Linked DNA regions of Danio rerio. The protein of the gene in region 4 purifies or fractionates together with the protein of the main gene of each other region. This does not show direct contact. Links are inferred from orthologs where the notes say so. Each region holds a gene or a part of one and is shown on either strand. Other genes may lie near its edges. The genes, in order: ubr2, fam241a, bcs1l and nrp1a.

Region 1 (5,526 bases), on a different chromosome or scaffold from region 4:
TATATATATATATATATATATATATATAGCATTATTTTAGAGAAATAATGCACATCCCGGAGATGTGGTCCTGATAGCTCAGGGGTGTCCAAACTCAGTCATCCAACTTGCCTCAACAAACCTGCATGGATGCTTCTAGAAAGCCTAGTAAGAGCTTAAATAGCTAGCCTAGGTGTGTCTGTTTGGAGTTGGAATTAAACTTTGCAGGACACTGGCCCTCCAGGACCGAGTTTGGACACCCCTGTGATAGCTGGATTAATATAGCAAGCAAGGCTTGGAATATACATTTGAGCATCAATTCACACATGATTGTGTGACATAGGCCCTACAATATTATTTGTTTTCTAATTAATTTATGCATTGTTTCAAGTTACTTTAATTGTTTTCTGCTGTGTATTTTTCCTAATTATTAACATGTTTAATTATAATAGGATCTAATTTTGAACTCAACAAACTACCTTATTGGTTGGTTCGCACATTCATACTTTCACAGACTATTATTATTATTGTTTTTTTTATCATATTATCATTATTATTTATTTTGTTAAGATTTTTTTAACCCTCAGATTACAGGTTTTTACATAGTTGTTTCTCTGTCAAATAGTGTCCTATCATAACAATATATAAATAAATGCTATTTATTCAGCTTCCAGATTATGTACTCAAATTTCCAAAAAAAAAAAAAAAAAGGACACTAACTGGTTTTGTGGACCAGGATCACAATTTTCATCATTACTCTAGTCTTCTCAGTCACACCATCCTTCCATAACTCCTCCCAATCGGGTTTCATGCTCAATAAACATTTATTTTATTATAAATGTCAACATGATATATCTTTTTCGAAGATTTTAGAACAGCTTTCAAGTCATAAACACCATTTTTGAGGGGTGTTTACATTGAGGTAAAGCTAGTTTTGCAAACGTTTGCCAATATGTTAACCCTCAGATTACCGGTTTTAAAATAGTTGTTTCCCTGTCAAATATTGTCATAAAATCACATATCAATAGAAATCTTATTTATTCAGCTTTCAGATTATGTAGTAAACTCAAATAAATAAATAAAAAATAGACTTATGATTGGTTTTGTGGTCCAGGGTTACAAGAATTTTCATCTTCGGTCTTTGCAGTCACACAATCCTTCCAAAAAGCCTATTTTTTTTCCCGTAAGATTTTAGAACAGCTTTCAAGTCATGAACACCATTTTTCCACATATCAATAGAAATCTTATTTATTCAGCTTTCAGCTTATATGGTTAACAAACATTTCCAAAAAATGGACAAGTAGCCTATTGGTTTTGTGGTCCAGGGTTACATTAGTCTTCGCAGTCCCAAAATCCTTCCAAAAACCGTTCCAGTGGGTGTTTACGTTGAGGTAAAGCCTGTTTTATATTCACTCACTCAGACCTTCTCCATAATAATATAATTTTAGGCAACTTTGGTAATTCTAAATGGGCAAATCATATTAGCACACTGCAGCCAATGACATGAAGTTGGTTTATATTCACACATTCAGTAACAACTTGTGACATGGTCTCTATTGTTTAGCTACCACGCTACTTTGAATATTCGGTCTGAAGCATGTATGACTTCAAATCAAGCTCTGTTTAACTGACTGTGAACAATGTTATACTTTGATAGTCACGGCTACTAATATGATTTCCCTATTTAGAATAAGTAAATAAGACTTTTCTGAAATGCTTTTATTAAGGAGAAAGTTAGAATGAGCCAAATATAAAACCAAATTTACCTCAATGCCAAATAACTATCAAAGTCCACAGTCAAATGGGGTTGTTTTGAAGTCATATATGTGATTGCTATCCAATGTACCATGGTAAGCAGTATAGTGAGGATATCACAAGTTGTCACTGACTATATGTGCGAATATAAAACTTCACCTCAGTGGTGTTTACTAGTAAAATGACAACACATTAGCTACAAAGTTTGGAAAGACAACTTTTAATCAATTCACAGTTTGCAGATGTACTTGTAAACCACACGTGAGGAGGGAGCGGCTGTTTTTGTGCACCGTCACCGTGGCAACAACAGCGACACTTTTCCATTAGTCAGCTGAAAAGTTTTGCCAGCTCCTTGACGGAAGAAGGGCGAGCGGCTGATTTCCGCTTCCTTCACTGCTGTTGCTCCTGCTGGTTTGCTGGTGGCCACTGAAGTAAAGATGGCGGCGGCCGAGACCGATCGTGATGCACCGTCCGCTCTGTGTAGCGAATTCCTCAATTTCTCCGCTAAGGACACCGCTGCGGTAGGCGACAGTTTTATGAACACTACGCAAAATTTCTCTACTGGCGATCTGTTTGTGTTTGGTTGCAAAAATCAACACGTTGGCGATGAATTGTCAGTTTTTTTTCTCGCTCCTCATCTTGTTTTGCTCAGTTGTTCCTGCTAGCGCGCTAACAGCTAACGCTAGCCTGTGAGATTTTCACACCTCAGCCTAAAAAAACGCACATCTGACACGCCGTTTGCACACATTATCAGTTTATAAATATGGATTTAGTATATATATTTTTTTATTTAGTGATTTTTCGGGTTTAGCGTATGGTTTTGGTGTCAGTGATATTTTAAAAGGATCTGTCAAGAGTTGGAAAAACAACATTGGCTGCTTTGTTCATCATCTATACGTCATTATGTTTATCCTGTTATTAACACAGTTTGACAGTCGCTTTGAATTGGTTTATACAAATAAATAGTTAAAATATATATATATATATATATTTAGCATTTTTGTGATAATGGTAATATGAGCTGTTTTTCTGGTTTCCTTCAGCAGGTGCTGTAGAACGTTATGGGTTTGCAAACTAAACATTAGTTTGATATTCCAGCTATGCTTGTTTTTCTTTTCATTTGTAAATTGATTTACCCACAACATTTCCATGCCACGTGTATCATATAAAAAAGTAGGTTTGTTTTGACAAAGTAATTCAGGTGGCGGTTGTCTGAACCACAAGACCTCAATTCACTGCGGTTGTGTTGTGTGATGAACTGAACGATAACAGTACATGTCCTGGTTATTTTGCACTTTTTTTCATCACCATGTGCATACAAAACGTGGACCTACATCACAAGGAGTTCTATATTGATGAGATTAAAATCTCTTTTGAACAATCTCAAAAGCACTTGGTCAATTGTCTGTATCTGGTTTGTTTAACTGTATTCTCTCAAGTCCTAAATCCAGGTTAGTAGGTCGATGTAGACAGTCATTGAGACTGCCAAGTTCTGCTTGTGCTGTATACGTAATCTCTGTGTTTCCTTTACAGCATGTGTTTCTGGCACAACAAACACATTAACTGTAGACAATGGAGACTAGCTAGGTTCTTACAGTATTTCCTTCAAAACAATTGCAAAAAAACCAAAACAATAGTTTCTAAATCAGAGTCTGTATTTGCATCGGATTATTTTTCTATAGTATATGAAATGCACAGTCAATTTGTCACTTTATTAAAACAAATAAAATTATATATATATATATTTGAATGAATATATATATATATATATATATATATATATATATATATATATATATATATATATATATATATATGAATGAGTATATATGAGCTATTCCAGCATTAAGGATGTGACATTGGCAGTAAAAATTCAAAACATAAATTCACATAGAAAGTATAATTTAACATTATTTTGAAATAACTGTTGATATTTTCCAGGACAACTAACCACAGAGTTATGGGATAAAAAAAAAATCAATCTGTAAATTTTATACTTTAAATAAGGAAAGTAAAGTGTTATGGATGTGACCAAAAAAGCTTGCAAGTTTACAGTATACTTTGTACATATTTTGTAGAAGTTCTGTGAATTAAACTGCACAACCCAAAAGAAATATTGCTAATCAAAAGGAGAAGAGTTGGATCTCTATAAAACAAACATGACTGGTTTTATTTTATTTTACAGTTTTGTATTTATGAGGAAAAAGTGTCGTTATGGATGTGACACTTCTTCGTTATGGAAGTGACGGATGTGTAAATTCCATTTGTGTGGCTTTAGTAATTCAAACATAATAGTTTGAAAACATTGACAGTCATTTTGAAGTATTTCTAAAGTACTGTAAAATACAAACCTACACAAAAAACTTCCATATTTTGGTGAAAACTTAATTCTTTTCATGGCAAGGTTGACATTTGCATGGAATTGGAATATATATATATATATATATATATATATATATATATTTATATATATATATATATATATATATATATATATATATTCGGGTGGCACAATATTGGAAAAATCTGAAAATGTGATATTTTGTTTTTCTGTGGTATTATTGCAATCAGGGTGCAAATTATACATTGACGATCAGGGGGTTAACTTTTTCAGTAATGTTAAATGTTCCAACTTATAATGGAAAAAATCTATTAATTAAATATTTTATATTCACACTTGATCAAAGCAGTCAGAAACACTTTGATTGACATTCTCCCTTTGTACGTGTCATCAGAATGGGAAAGCCCCACCCACTAGTGACCATCCCTCATTAGCAAAGGACGTTAGTCTTGCTTCTGAATCTGCCATTATGCTGATGCACAGGCATTTGTAGCTCCGCCCTCTTTTGAAAAGAGCATAATCTTATTTGAATTAAAAGCAACAATCACCAAAACAGCACAATTAGGATCAAAGCCTAAAATGGTCTGTTTCAAAGAGTTATAAAACATTATTTGTGTGGCATTTTGAGCTGAAACTTCACATACACACTCTAGGGACACCAGAAACATATATTACATGTTGTAAAAATGGGCATAATAGGTCCCCTTTAATGTAAAGTGCAATTTTTCTCATATTAAAAACGTTTAATTTACCCATCTTTTCACAGAAATGGCTACAGGTGAGCAACCTACCCAAAGAGGTGTACCAGCACTTGGCCTGCTATGTCCCCAAGATCTACTGCCTGGGTCCCAACCTCAACCCTCAGAACGAGGACCTGCTCGCTCAGCTGCTGCTTCAGGGCCCGCTGGAGTGGTATCTCTGTGGGGAAGAGCCGTCCGTGGGCTTGTCCAAACTCGAACAGAACAACCAGCCGTCACAACTTTGTGGCCATGTGTTTAAAGTGGGAGAGCCAACATACTCCTGCAGGTACAGTGTCAATATCGCACAGGGCTTGAAATTAACATGCATCAATGTTTGAAGGGGTCATTTGGAGGGCTTGAAATTAACATGCATCAATGTTTGAAGGGGTCATTTGGAGGGAAAATCAGTATTGAACACGTCATCATTTTTCTCAGAAATCATTTCTAAAGGTGCCATTGACTTGAAATTTTCACCAGATGTTGGAAGCATCCAAATAATTACAGATATGCAAAGAAAACAAATTAATTTAGAAGTTATGTGTAATAAAATGAAATGTTGCAAGGCAAAAGTATTGGAACACATGAAGAAAGGGAGGCGTAGAGAAGCAGTGAAAGCCCAGACAGCAGCTGAAATCTCTCATTCGGAATCGGCGGACGTGCAACAACTTTAACCATGAGGTAAACACAATACAAAACTTTCCATCCGAAGCT
Region 2 (5,649 bases), on a different chromosome or scaffold from region 4:
CTTTTTTGCTCTTTCATTCTCTCTGCACACATTGTTTTCTGTATGTGTGTGTGTGTATACATACATATATATACATATATATATAAACATATACATATATACATATACATATATATACATCTACATATATTTATTTATATATATAATATATTTATATTTTGCCTTTAAGTGACAAAGCACTTTAAACATTTGTCAATATTAAGTCTTTAAATCACATAAAATCTATTCAAATTTACCATTATCACAAATTATTAAGTATAATCTAAGCCCAGGTCAGAATAGGTTGTGAAACGACAGCAGATTTCGACATTTTATATTCACAAATGTTATGGAAAACATCGACATAGACACTTTCATTTAATTTGTGGATGGAGACTCAGTGGTTAGCACTGTCGCCCCACAGTAAGAAGGTCACTTGTTCGAGCCCCTGGGCCAGTTGGCATTTCTGTGTGAAGTTTGATTGTTTTCCTTGTGTTCGTGTAGGTTTTAGGTTTCTTCCGGGTGCTCCTGTTTCCCACACAGACATGCAGGCACTTGGAAGGGCATCTGCTGTGTAAAACATATGCAGGATAAGTTGGCGGTTCATTCCGCTGTGGCAACAAAGCCGAATGAAAATGGAATGAATGAATGATTAGTGGATTTCTACAAGGAAAAAGGCAACTGCAATTATTTTAAAGCATGATTGTTTTTATTATGATAACCCAGGTTTTTAGTTGAATTACATTGCAGAATGATTTATAATGTATAAAAAAAACAACTCAATTAAAATAATTTAATCAATACAAGTATCCCTCATTAAACCCACCACCAGCAAATAAAAAATTGTGGCAAATACGTTGGTAAAATGAAAAGTACAGCACATGAGATGCAGATGAACACTGAAAAGAATCACATCAAATCAAAAGTTGGCATCATGTCAGCAATTATGTCACATTACAAACAAAGTAGTTTTTCTCAAAATCTGTACCAAAAAATAATCAAAATCAAATATGATTTTCATGAGTATGACATCATCTTGCAAAAATATTCACAGTTACATAAACAGCAGGTAATTAACCGTGCTTAAAAAGTTAAATCATTTAATAATAATCAAATGTAGTATTTCAAAAAGCATTAAGTGCTATTAAAACAGCCTTTATATATTTCTGATTCTGAATATCCTACAAAACAAACTGTTTCAAGATATTTCTACTAAATATGTTGTATTTATGAAATCATCATTTGATTTCATTAATATTCATATTGCATTATTTCTTTAACAGACAGCATAAGCAGATTGAAAAGAGATAGTTCACCCCAAAATTACAATTCTTAGTTTCTTTATGATGATAGAGAGAATTTTGATGGATGTTGGAAAGCAGCAGGCATTGATATTCATAGTGTGTGCACAATATATGAAAATTATCATTATAACGATAATAGTATATGCAATGATTTTGTTTTACTACTGCTAACCGTTTAAAACAGGGGTGTCCGAACTTAGTCCTGGAAAGCCAGTGTCCTGCAGAGTTTAGTTCCAACCTCAATCAGACACACCTGGGCTAGATGATCAAGCTGTTACTAGGCTTTCCAGAAACATCTGTACAGGTGTGTTGAGGCAAATTGGAGCTAAAATCTGCAGGACACCGGCCCTCCAAGACTGAGTCTGGACATCCCTGGAACAAAACATTCTTCAAAATATCATCTTTTGTATACAACAGAAAAAAAAAGGTTTGGTACCAGTAAATGCTCAGTCCATTTTTAATTTAGGGTGAACTGTCCCTTTAAGAAACATCAGTTAATAAACAAATCCAAAAATACAGTGCATAACGTAGATCTTTTTCATGATAGGTTTGGTTTTAATACAGATTCCTCCTCTGCTCAGACTCTTGGAGAACTGTATTTAATTCAAACTGTCAGACGAAGTCCAAAAATACCCCAGCAGCCCCAGAACATTCACATGCAGTAGTATTAACACATTCAAGTTTTAACTCAGAATAATTATTCATCCCTGTTAGATTTCCTAACACATCTTAAAAGGGATAGTTCACCCAAAAATGAAAATCGACTCACTATTTAATCACCCTCAAGTTATTTTAAAGCTTTGTGAGTTTCTTTGTGCTACCAAACACTAAAGAAGATATTTTAAAGAAAGCTGAAAACCTGTAACCATTGACTTCCATAGTATTTATTTTTTCTACTTTGGAAGTCAATGGTTACCAGTTTCCAGTCTTTTTTATCTTCTTTAGTGTTTAAGTGAGTAAATGACAAAATCATTTTCAGTTTCGGATGAACTATCTCTTTTATAAAGAATGAGGAAGGTTGCCCTCTAGTGCAATTGCGTAGAGAAAACAGGACTGAAACCTGGGAACACATCAGCAATACATTCAACAAGGATACCACTTTCATTTCAAATGACTGTCAAGCTGATATGTACAACCAGTTATAATAAAGCTCTTCAACCTGTACAGGTTACGACAGTCATCCTATCTCTATGCACCAATCAGGAGTGAAGGGAAGCATGCTTTTCACAAATGCCTTATGCATGAAAGCGCATAGACTGGTGGAATCATTCTAGCAATTAAAGTAAATCCTCTGATTATCTTCAATAATTCACCTTCTTGAATATATACCCACATTACAAGAAAGCAAACAACACCCGCGTAAACGGAGTTGTGGAGCTTGTCGTTTACAGAAAGGAGTCTCAATCTCCTCTCTACTGGCTGTAAGTGGCAAAACTGTCCTTCATCTGTATATTCTCGTCTGCTATTTCTGGATGTAAATGATAATGATGCACAGAGTTCCCACGAGGCCAAGCGCTTGGATACCAAGGAACCACAAAAGCAACCAAAACACCAGCACGACCACCGGCTCCACAATCTTCTCTCCGAAGTAGAGCTGGGTGAATCCAAGACCCCTCAAACACTTGTTGAGCTCCCCGAACAAAGTGCCCATCTTCTCACAGTCATCCACCTGTGGGGCCTCCGGTTCAGCTGGTTCCTGCGATGGCTCAGCATTGTGTGGTCTATCTCTTCCCCTGGGGTCATTCTGAGCGCAATGACAGAGTAATTATACAGTAATTATACAGGGTGTAAAACACTGACACCATTTGAGTGTCTGTGGGAGTGTGTTTATGTTTGTAATATGTACTGTCGCTATATATAGCAAGGCAAAAAAAAAAAAACAGGTTGGTATACTTGGGTTTCGTCATTTCGTTATGTTGAGGCTTAACAGAACTCCTTATGTTATACCAAATGAATGTGACAACATTGCAAAACAGCTATTTATAGAGCTGTTGATACACAAGGGGAAGGCAGGGCTGTTTCTTAGTTACTGATAAAAAACAACAGACTATTCTAAAACTTTTAACTCGTAGTATACAAGTATAATTTAAAAAAAACAAGTCAGGTTGGTCGAGATGTACGTTAAGAGTCTTACCAGTTCTCTGTGTGTGTGTTTGACAGCGCGCTCATGCTGGTGTCGACACCCGCTCCGTTCTCGCGTCCCGGTTAAGAAGTCTCGATGATGACGTGTCTCCGCATCATTTACGATACGATTAGTATTTGACATATTAATGCTAAAAACAGAATGATTAATTTTGACCTGAGACGGGGCCGAAGGGCTGGGAAACAGATGGCTTGTTGGAGATACTTCCGGTGTTGGCTGTCAACAGACGGCGCAGCCTGACGTCACAAATCACGGTCAAAATAAGAGTTGTGGTGTTTTATTTACCTGTTTTTTTAAACCCCTGGCAACTAAGTTTATGCCTTTTGATTGTATACTGTTAATACAGTTTCAGTGGGTAAAAAGTGATATATTACAATTTTACGTCTACCTTATCTCCTTAAAAAAGTTTTTAAAAAATGCAAATTACAATAAAATAACATATATATGTACATATATATTCACATTGCGTCCTTAAAAAGTAACTAACACATTTAGTTACGTTTTTAAATGACTACAGATTGCCATATATTACTTTTTTCCCAACACTGAGTTGCACTCATTTAAAAAAAAAAATTTTTTTAGATGTAAATACATTTTACAGTTTGTGGTTTGCGGTAAGTTTGTACAACTTACATAATAAAGGGGGAAAGTTGTCATTGCATGTCGTGTCATGTGAACGTTACAATAATCTTTAAATTTAGAGAAAAACAAAAACACGTGCATTAAGAATAGATGGGTGTTAGAATAAGCATGAACAAAAACATTTCCTTCTTTTAATATAGTTTAATATAATTATTAACTTACACATAGGCTGTAGATCTATATACAGTTATAGAAGTGCAAAGGCTGTGTTTTAAAAATTTAGTAACACGTGGGGGCGTATTTCTGCGAGTCGATTCTTTTGAACTTTTCCATTTAAAAGATTCAGCTGCCTTTTTTGTCAAATCTGGAAACACATTTTGGTTTGTCGCGCTCAAAAAAGTCTTTAAACCAATTTTAATCGTCAAATTAATATTTAATTCTATTCATTATGTTATTGATTGATAAATTGCCTGTGTTCACAAACCATGTTTTCCAGTGTTTGATCATGTGTGTGCTGTGCTTTCATTCATTTTCTTGTCGGCTTCCTTTATTAATCCAGGGTCGCCACAGCGGAATGAACCGCCAACTTATTCAGCTGGTTTTTACGCAGCGGATGCCCTTCCAGCCGCAACCCATCCCTGGGAAACATCCACACACACATTCACACACACACTCATACACTACGGACAATTTAGCCTACCCAATTCACCTGTACTAAACTGTGGGGGAAACTAGAGCACCTTGAGGAAACCCATGCGAACGTAGGGAGAACATGCAAACTCCACACAGAAACACCAACTGAGCCGAGGATCAAACCAGCGACCTTCTTGCTGTGAGGCAACAGCACTACCTACTGCGCCACTGTTACCTGTGCTTTCATTAATCTGTTATTAATATTACAAAAATCAAAGGTGAATAAAATGATAACAAGATCATTACATTTCTTCCTAAATGCCCTGTTAAAGGAAAATTCATAGCAGTCAAAATTATTGAATGCGACAATATGGGACATTGAGTTTAAAGTAAATTAACTTTGTATAATAGCAGATACAGGCGTTATGGGTTTTACCCTAGTATTTTTTTATTGCTGGTTTTCTGGAAGCTCCAGTAAAGGGCATCAAGAATTTAGCTACCAATTAATGGCCTAAACATGTATCAGCCTGGACAGACATCTACCAGTTCTGCTACAGCACATCAATCTCTGCTTGTATGGATGCTACTGTGTTCTCTGAAGGTATTACTAGAGCAAAACAACTGCACCTGTAACAGGGAAAATTGTTTTTGTAAAGAATAAAAAGGTATTTTAAAATTTTTTTTATTTTATTTTGATCGTTCAAACTACTTTTTTAAAATGAGCTGAAACAACACAATTCTTGAGATTTCATTGGGACAACAATTTTTTTTATGTTCAATCCATATAAATTTGTTAAAAGTGTTAAGTTTATTTATATGAGGTGCCGTGTAGAGTTTAAATTTAACTTTGCTTATCAACACATACATAAAACGGCACCTCATATACTTAATCAATTTGTGTTGGGACAACGTGAATGAATTGTGTGGAACCCTGCTTTTTTACAGTGTATATATTTTTGTTGCTTGTTCAAACTAAAATGAGCTGGAACACCAAAGTTCTTAAGTTTT
Region 3 (3,755 bases), on a different chromosome or scaffold from region 4:
TGTTTTTGGACTATTGAAGAAAACACCTACCCCTTTTCATTGTAAAGCTGGAAAAGCACAAGATTATTAATAAAATTACTCTGATTTTATTCGACTGAAAGTAGACAGTCTTATACTAACCTCATTAGGGGTTCATTTTTAATTAAAATTAATTAAAATTTAATTAAAATCTAACCCTTTAAAATAACAAAGTACAATGGGTATATGCACAAAGATTTCTAATATTCAGTCAGCCCAATCGCTTCCAGTGAACTGTATTGCCATCACAAAATCGGCACGTTTAAGATCTGATTTCTTTAAAAAATCTGTGATCTTCACAGCCTGATTGATGTGCGATATAAAGTTGGTTTCAGACCAGATAAGAAGCGCTGAATTAAATTCCATTTCCCTGTCTTCAAAATATGAAAACGTATTTGACCCCAGTATTGAAGTTTCTACGCTAGCCTACTACTACTGACATCCCTAGCTTTTGCATGGTCTTTCATCTCATTTTATGCTTGAATAACAAAATAAATGCTTAAGTCTATTTAACTGATTGTATTTTAAGTACATTACAACATCCGTGCTGTAAAAGCAACCTTATGAAATTGAAAACAGTCACATTAACCTTTCACTGGAAGTTTATCGTTGGCTGAAAAACACTAGCTGTGCATATAGCTCATTCAGAGTTTCACATCTCTGTATACTTATTGTACTTTTTCTTCTTCTCAGAACTGCTCTGGCAGGTGAGCTGGGCTACAGCATCTGTCTGATGAGTCTGAGCGACCGCAGCCTGTCTGATGATCGCCTCAATCACCTGCTAAGCGTCGCTCCGCAGCAGAGCATCATCCTGCTGGAGGACGTAGATGCAGCCTTTGTCAGCCGCGAGCTGCTGCCCACCGAGAGTATGTCTTGCTGTTGTGCTTCTGAATATTCACAGCCTAACTATACTGTGATGAATCTTGATGACACAATATAATCTTCTTTCCATTTTTTTCTCACAGATCCACTGGCCTATCAAGGTATGGGACGGCTTACGTTTAGTGGGCTTCTGAATGCTCTGGATGGAGTGGCATCTTCAGAGGCCCGAATTGTCTTCATGACTACTAATTTCATTGAGAGGTAAGGCTTGTTTTTCCCCATGAAGATTTAGTTTTTTTTTTGGACTTTGGAATGTGAAATTGTGGCTATAATAGCACAAGGAATTGGAAGATTGGTGGTAATAAATTGTGTGTGTTACAGTGCAATGAAGGTCAGATCCTGGCAGATGTTTTAATATCCAAATGTTGTATAATTGTACTTATTATATTTAATAAACAAATATAATTATTTCATAGAATGAAAATCCAATTAAGTGTATATACGGATATTAAGTAAATAAAGGTTTATTTATGTAGCATTTTTCACAGACATTAAGTCACAAAAGGCTTTACAATAATGCCCGATTTACTCGGGCCTCAGCGTCAATGCTTGACGGAGGGCATGTCTGAAGTTAGGGCTGACGTGATCATCATAACAGCGTCAGCCAATAAAATTAGTCTGCAATCGGCTACTGTTTGAGCTAGGGGTATTTGCATAAAGCGATCTGATGAAAAGTAATGAAAAGTTGAGAAATTCCCAATTTCTGCAGCGAGCAACACTACTGATGCAGCACTGACGGATCTGCAATTCAGTTCGGCAACGCTTTATGTCACCCATTCAAAGCTAATGGGAAGTGCTGATGCTGATACCCCATGTGAATGGGCCGTTAAAGAAGTGTGGAAAGGGGTGTTTATTGTATTTTATTATTTTTATTTTAGAATATCCTGATATTCATTGTACTTTTGCATCCTAGATAATGTCATTTATATTCCCAACAAACATGCTTGCTTTAAACAATTGTACATAATAATCAGGTTTTGCTGACATTAAAAAAAATTGTTTAAAATATTTTTTTAGTCATCATTTATTAGTATATATTTAATATATTTAGTTTATGTTAAATAAGTCTGTATATATTTTTAAATATTTTTTGTTCCCTATTGCAAAATACATATTTTTTAATCTCTTAAAATAAATAATTTACACAATATTTCATTTATAAAGGATATTTTATGTGATCAAAAAAATTATGTTAGTGTAATCTTTTTTTTTAATTCAAACATAATAAATAAAACAAACATTAAATATTGTCAATTCATAAAATGTTTTTTTGGTCTTTATAACTGCTCAATTATTATCACACGATCACTCTTTTCTGTAGTCCAATCCTTACTTATTTTAAATAAATTAGTCCATTATTAATCATTAAAAACATTAATCATGAAGTACCCAGTGGTCAATAAGACTTGGGACTCTGAACAGTCTTTGGTATTAGTAAAATGGTATTGTTTCCTTCCCCTTCTCATTTTCTTCTCCTCGATGTGAAGACTCGATCCGGCTCTCGTCCGCCCCGGCCGTGTGGATCTGAAGCAGTATGTTGGCCACTGCTCGCACTGGCAGCTGACTCAGATGTTTCGGAGGTTTTACCCTCAGGAGTCTGCAGCCGAGGCAGATCACTTCTCTGAACAAGCACTGGCCGCTCACACAGATCTTAGCGCCGCTCAGGTACAAGGACACTTCATGCTCTACAAGACTGACCCAGCCGGGGCTATCAAAAACATTGCAGAGATTAAGGACTGAAGATTTTCATAGACTTTTGTTTGAAGAGCAGTCAAGAGCAACAGTTCTTGCTCACAAATTAATGCTCAAAAATTGGAGTAATAAAATAAGACTTGTGGAATATTTGTGTATTTTGCTTGGTTATTATGGCTGTATTTCGGAGGTTTGTTTTGTGTATATTGAATCATGCCTTATATGTGAGCGGGACATGCACTATCTGACAAAAGTCTTGTCCCTATCCAAGTTTTAGGAACAACAAATAATAACTGGACTAGTTGATCATTTGGTATTAGAAGTGGCTTAAATGAAAGGCAAAGGCCTCTAGATTACCCTTATTCTTATAGAATCTTGGGTCTATGTGGGTTTCAATAGGTCTTCTGCAGTATTTGTGATGCATTCCACAGATCATTCATCAGACAAATCTACCTTCTGCCACAAATAATCCACTAGAAGTCAAGTTATTATTTGTTGCTCCTACAACTGGGATCAATAACAAGACTTTTGTCAGGTAGAGATCTATTTTCCAAATTTTTTGCTTGTGATTAATATTCATACAATTATTAATGCTTTAAAATTCTAAACATTCAGAACATTTCTTTCTGAACAAGAGCATGTGGTTTTGTAACATTTTTTTGTTTGTTTTGAAGCCTTTTCCCTCCACCCTGTAGGAACTGGAGGAAAGGTGAATGTTAAAGGCAGAGTTCAGCCAGATTAAAAATTGCCTTTATTTTTATCGTCATCATGTCATTCAAAACCTGTACTTAGTATTATACCAGGAAAATAACAGAATGTTTACTATAACGTTCTCTGAAAGATTGAGAGCCACGGTCTGCATTTACATACAGCTTCACTCACTCTCAGAAATAAAGGTAAATGAGCTGTCACTGGGGTGGTACCTTTTCAAAATATACACATTTGTACTTAAAAGGTCCATATTGGTACTTTAAAAGTATATATTAGTACCAACAAAATTTAAGAGAAACACTTTTGTACTTTTTAGGTTCTAATATGTACCCTTGAGGCATTAATATGGACCTTTTAGGTACACATTTGTACTTTATGAAAAGGTACCACTCCAGTGACAGCTCGTGTACCTTTATTTCTGAGAGTGCTGTATGAAAAAGAGCAGAGAAATG
Region 4 (3,610 bases):
TCTACTTGGGACGACCCCACATACATATACTTTGCTGTTGAGTGTGTAAGTGCATAGTGTGCCATTTGGGACACAGCACTTGACTATTTTGTGTACTTGATTCAATCTGTTTCGGTAATTCAGCATTCATTATCAAATACTATAATATATACACTCACCGGCCACTTTATTAGGTACACCTTACTCGTACCGGGTTGGACACCTTCAGATTTGCCTTAATCCTTTGTGGCATAGATTCAAGAAGTTACTGGGAATATTCCTCAGAGATATACACTCCCTTTCCTCCACATCACAATGGTGCTCAATTGGATTGAGCTCTGGTGACTGTGGAGGCCATTTGAGTAAATTTCCTCTTTTTCAGACCATTGTAAACCCTAGAGATGGTTGTGCATGAAAATCCCAGTAGAGCAGCAGTTTCTGAAATACTCACAGCAGCCTGTCTGGCAGCAATAACCATGCCACGTCACTTAAATCCCCTTTCTTCCTCATTCTGATGCTTGCTTTGAACTGCAGCACATCGTCTTGACCCTGCCTAAATGCACTGAGTTGCTGCCATGTGATTGGCTGATTAGAAATTGCATTAACAAGCAGTTGGACAGGTGTACCTAATAAAGTGGCCGGTGAGTGTATAGTATAATACGCTTTACTATTGGATCCTTGCTCAAAAACACTACAGTATTTACTATAAATTACTATATTATTTTTTTTCACGTGGGGTGTGAGAGACGCACTCTTAAAAATAAAGAGTGAGAGAACATTAAGGATTATTTGTGTCTTCATATGAAGAGCATTTTAATAATCCAAAAATATTGTTTCTCCACTTTAACGGAATTGAACATCTGATGTGAAATGTTCTTCGCACAATAATCAATGTCTATTTCAGTGTAAGACGATGCTCAGCTTTATATGAGACAGCGGATCCTGTGATGGACTTCTGTTTTGAACAAGGGCTGCATCTTTTGGGAGCGTAGCAAAAAGAACCCAACAGGACGGAAAAAAAGCACACGTTTCACTCCACGAAACACTCAGACGATTGTATTTACAACATACAACCCAGGAAAAAAGGGATACTGCAGCTCTCTTTTTTGTCCTTTTACTTGTTTCTTTGAAAAGGGCATTAAAATATATTAAAACGTATGTACAATATGCATGATTTCGACATTAAAGCGCTATGAATTTCCCCGGGATTCGTTTTGCAGTTTCAGCCTTGTTTTGTTTTAAAGAACTAAAGGGTTGAGAACGCCATAAAACAACAGAGGAGGCCAAAAAAGATGTACCAAAGGCACTGACCGAACCATACCCAGAATGCAACAGGGCTGGATGATATTCCACCCCTTTGATCCTAATTACCTTCCCTTGGCCGTATATATGGTTCATTTGGGTTTTTTTGTTTGTTTTTGTTTACACATCTCCTTAAAGCGCAAAACAATCTCTTTTTTTAAAAATAAAAATAAATTCCTCCTAGAAAAGAAAGAAAAGATAAATACTTTATAACATTATTATATATTGGTCTCAACACCAGCATCCGATTGTAAAAATGATCAACCAAAAAATAATACAAAACAATAAAATAATAATTTCAATCATCTGTACATATTCGTGTGTTTTTTTTTCAATGTTTTGTACACAGTGTCCCCCTACTGGTGGGTTCTATTCACTGCAGCTCCTGAGAAAAGCATGGCTCAGTCCCAGTCCTCCTCCGATTGGTTCACTGAACCACAGAGCCTTGTCCTCCTCCAATCGGATGGCATCGGCAGTCCATGTAGCCCCGCCCCCCCTGAGGAGAGATTCCCTCTTATTGGTCGGCGCCTCACGCTTCCGAGTACGAGTTCTGTGAGTTGAGCTTGTCCTTCTTTAACTTGACGCCGTCCACCAGCTCAAAATTATAGTTCTCCAGGGCTGATAAGTTCCTGTCTGACATGCCGCTATGAGAGCAGGCGCAGTACAGCACCACGCCACAGATGGCGCCCAGGAAAACACCAAGCGCACTCATGGCGATGATAGTAATGAGGATGGGGTCCAGGGTTTTCAGCATGTTTCCAGCTCCGCCGATATCTGGGTTCTCCACGATATCTGGGAAATCGGTGATGTCCACCACTGCAAAACAGCAGGTACGACACATGTGAGGGTGTGTTACATTTAAAGACCGCATAAACCGGAAGTCGCAACCGTTTTGTGATGCAGTTCCAAGAGAAACGGAATATTAAATAGGAAAACAGTGGGCGTGGCTTGTTTTTTTCCACTGCGAGCGGATTGGATGTAGTGAAGTAGGCATTTCATTCAGAAAGATGGGGGAAAAGGTTTGGGGAGAGTTATTAAACCCTAACAGACTCCTCCTGCTCACCATTTCTGTTAGATGTCAAATCTGACAGCAGGAGGGGCGTGGCTAGGTATGTTAGCCACGCCCTATACCTCAGACAGATATAAAACAACAGGTACGACACATGTGAGAGTATGCTTTATGTAGAATATGATATCTTTAACACCAAGTCAAATTTGAGACCTTCTTTAGACAATTTTAAATGAACTTAAGACTTACATTAAGGATTTTTACTTGGCCCATTAAAAAAAATTGTAATTGCCTGCAGCTCGCTCTCTGCAACTCTCACATGCTCGCCCACTGAAGCTAAACAGGGCTGCACCCAGTCAGTAACTGGATGGGAGACCACATGGAAAGCTGGGTTGCTGTTGGAAGTTGTGTTAGTGAGGCCAACAGGGGGCGCCCAACCTGCGGTCCGTGTGGGTCCTAATGCCCCAGTATAGTGAAGGGGACACTATCCTGCTTAGTGAGTGCCGTTTTTCAGATGAGACATTAAACCGAGGTCCCGACTCTCTGTGGTCGTTAAAAATCCCAGGATGTCCTTTGAAAAGGAGTAGAGATTTAACCCTGGCATCCTGGCCAAATTTGCCCACTGGGCTCTGTCCATCATGGCCTTCTAACCATCCCCATATAAAAATTGGCTTCATCACTCAGTCTCCTCTCCACCAATCAGCTGGTGTGCGGTCTGGTGCAATATGGCCAGGTGGATGCTGCACACTGGTGGTGGATGAGAGGATCCCCCATCGTGTAAAGCGCTTAGAGTGTCTAGAAAAGCGCTTTATAAATGTAAGGAATTATTATTAATTACTTAAATAATACTTAAATGTGTTAATGTATCTGTGATGTCCAATGAAGACTGCAAAACAACAGATACGACACATGAGGAAAAGCTGTTACCTTTAAACCGTTTCCATTTCTCTATGACACCACTGTTACTGTTGGGTTCACGCTTGAAATTTCTAGGTGATGTACGCATACTACATATAGTTTTTCAAGTTAAGTTCAGGTTTTAACATATATATATATATCAGTCATTCATTCATTTTCTTTTCGGCATTTCATTTAATTATTTAAGATATTATTAAAATTGGCATGATCACTTATTACTTTTATAATTCAAGACTGTCATTAAATTTGGATTAAAATCTGAATTTTAGCATCAGTATCAGTTCTTATCACATTAAACATGAGTTTATTTGAATATATTTTATTTGATAAAATTACTTTCGCTTTGTCTTTGGTCTATTAAGGCAGATTTGGTGACATTAAATAATATTCTCAACTTACATA

What was found.
Region 1: the proteins of nrp1a (region 4) and ubr2 purify together in Homo sapiens (affinity purification with mass spectrometry; 3 studies listed by BioGRID and IntAct, counting the BioPlex papers as one, with this or other methods). This does not show direct contact. The link is inferred for Danio rerio from reciprocal best matches to the Homo sapiens genes NRP1 and UBR2.
Region 2: the proteins of nrp1a (region 4) and fam241a purify together in Homo sapiens (affinity purification with mass spectrometry; 3 studies listed by BioGRID and IntAct, with this or other methods). This does not show direct contact. The link is inferred for Danio rerio from reciprocal best matches to the Homo sapiens genes NRP1 and FAM241A.
Region 3: the proteins of nrp1a (region 4) and bcs1l purify together in Homo sapiens (affinity purification with mass spectrometry; 3 studies listed by BioGRID and IntAct, counting the BioPlex papers as one, with this or other methods). This does not show direct contact. The link is inferred for Danio rerio from reciprocal best matches to the Homo sapiens genes NRP1 and BCS1L.

The regions. Positions count from the first base shown.
Region 1 is NC_133188.1:3,260,012-3,265,537, reverse strand, and holds the start of ubr2 (E3 ubiquitin-protein ligase UBR2), read left to right. Parts: upstream 1-2,167; 5' UTR 2,168-2,171; coding exon 2,172-2,255; intron 2,256-4,841; coding exon 4,842-5,101; intron 5,102-5,526. UniProt on the Homo sapiens protein: E3 ubiquitin-protein ligase which is a component of the N-end rule pathway.
Region 2 is NC_133188.1:13,067,079-13,072,727, forward strand, and holds fam241a (uncharacterized protein FAM241A), read right to left. Parts: upstream 3,660-5,649; 5' UTR 3,550-3,659; coding exon 3,418-3,549; intron 3,028-3,417; coding exon 2,746-3,027; 3' UTR 1,324-2,745; downstream 1-1,323.
Region 3 is NC_133184.1:40,117,238-40,120,992, forward strand, and holds the end of bcs1l (mitochondrial chaperone BCS1), read left to right. Parts: intron 1-711; coding exon 712-884; intron 885-983; coding exon 984-1,101; intron 1,102-2,387; coding exon 2,388-2,640; 3' UTR 2,641-2,735; downstream 2,736-3,755. UniProt on the Homo sapiens protein: Chaperone necessary for the incorporation of Rieske iron-sulfur protein UQCRFS1 into the mitochondrial respiratory chain complex III.
Region 4 is NC_133199.1:1,253,499-1,257,108, forward strand, and holds the end of nrp1a (neuropilin-1a isoform 1 precursor), read right to left. Parts: intron 2,098-3,610; coding exon 1,811-2,097; 3' UTR 1,069-1,810; downstream 1-1,068. UniProt on the Homo sapiens protein: Cell-surface receptor involved in the development of the cardiovascular system, in angiogenesis, in the formation of certain neuronal circuits and in organogenesis outside the nervous system. Mediates the chemorepulsant activity of semaphorins.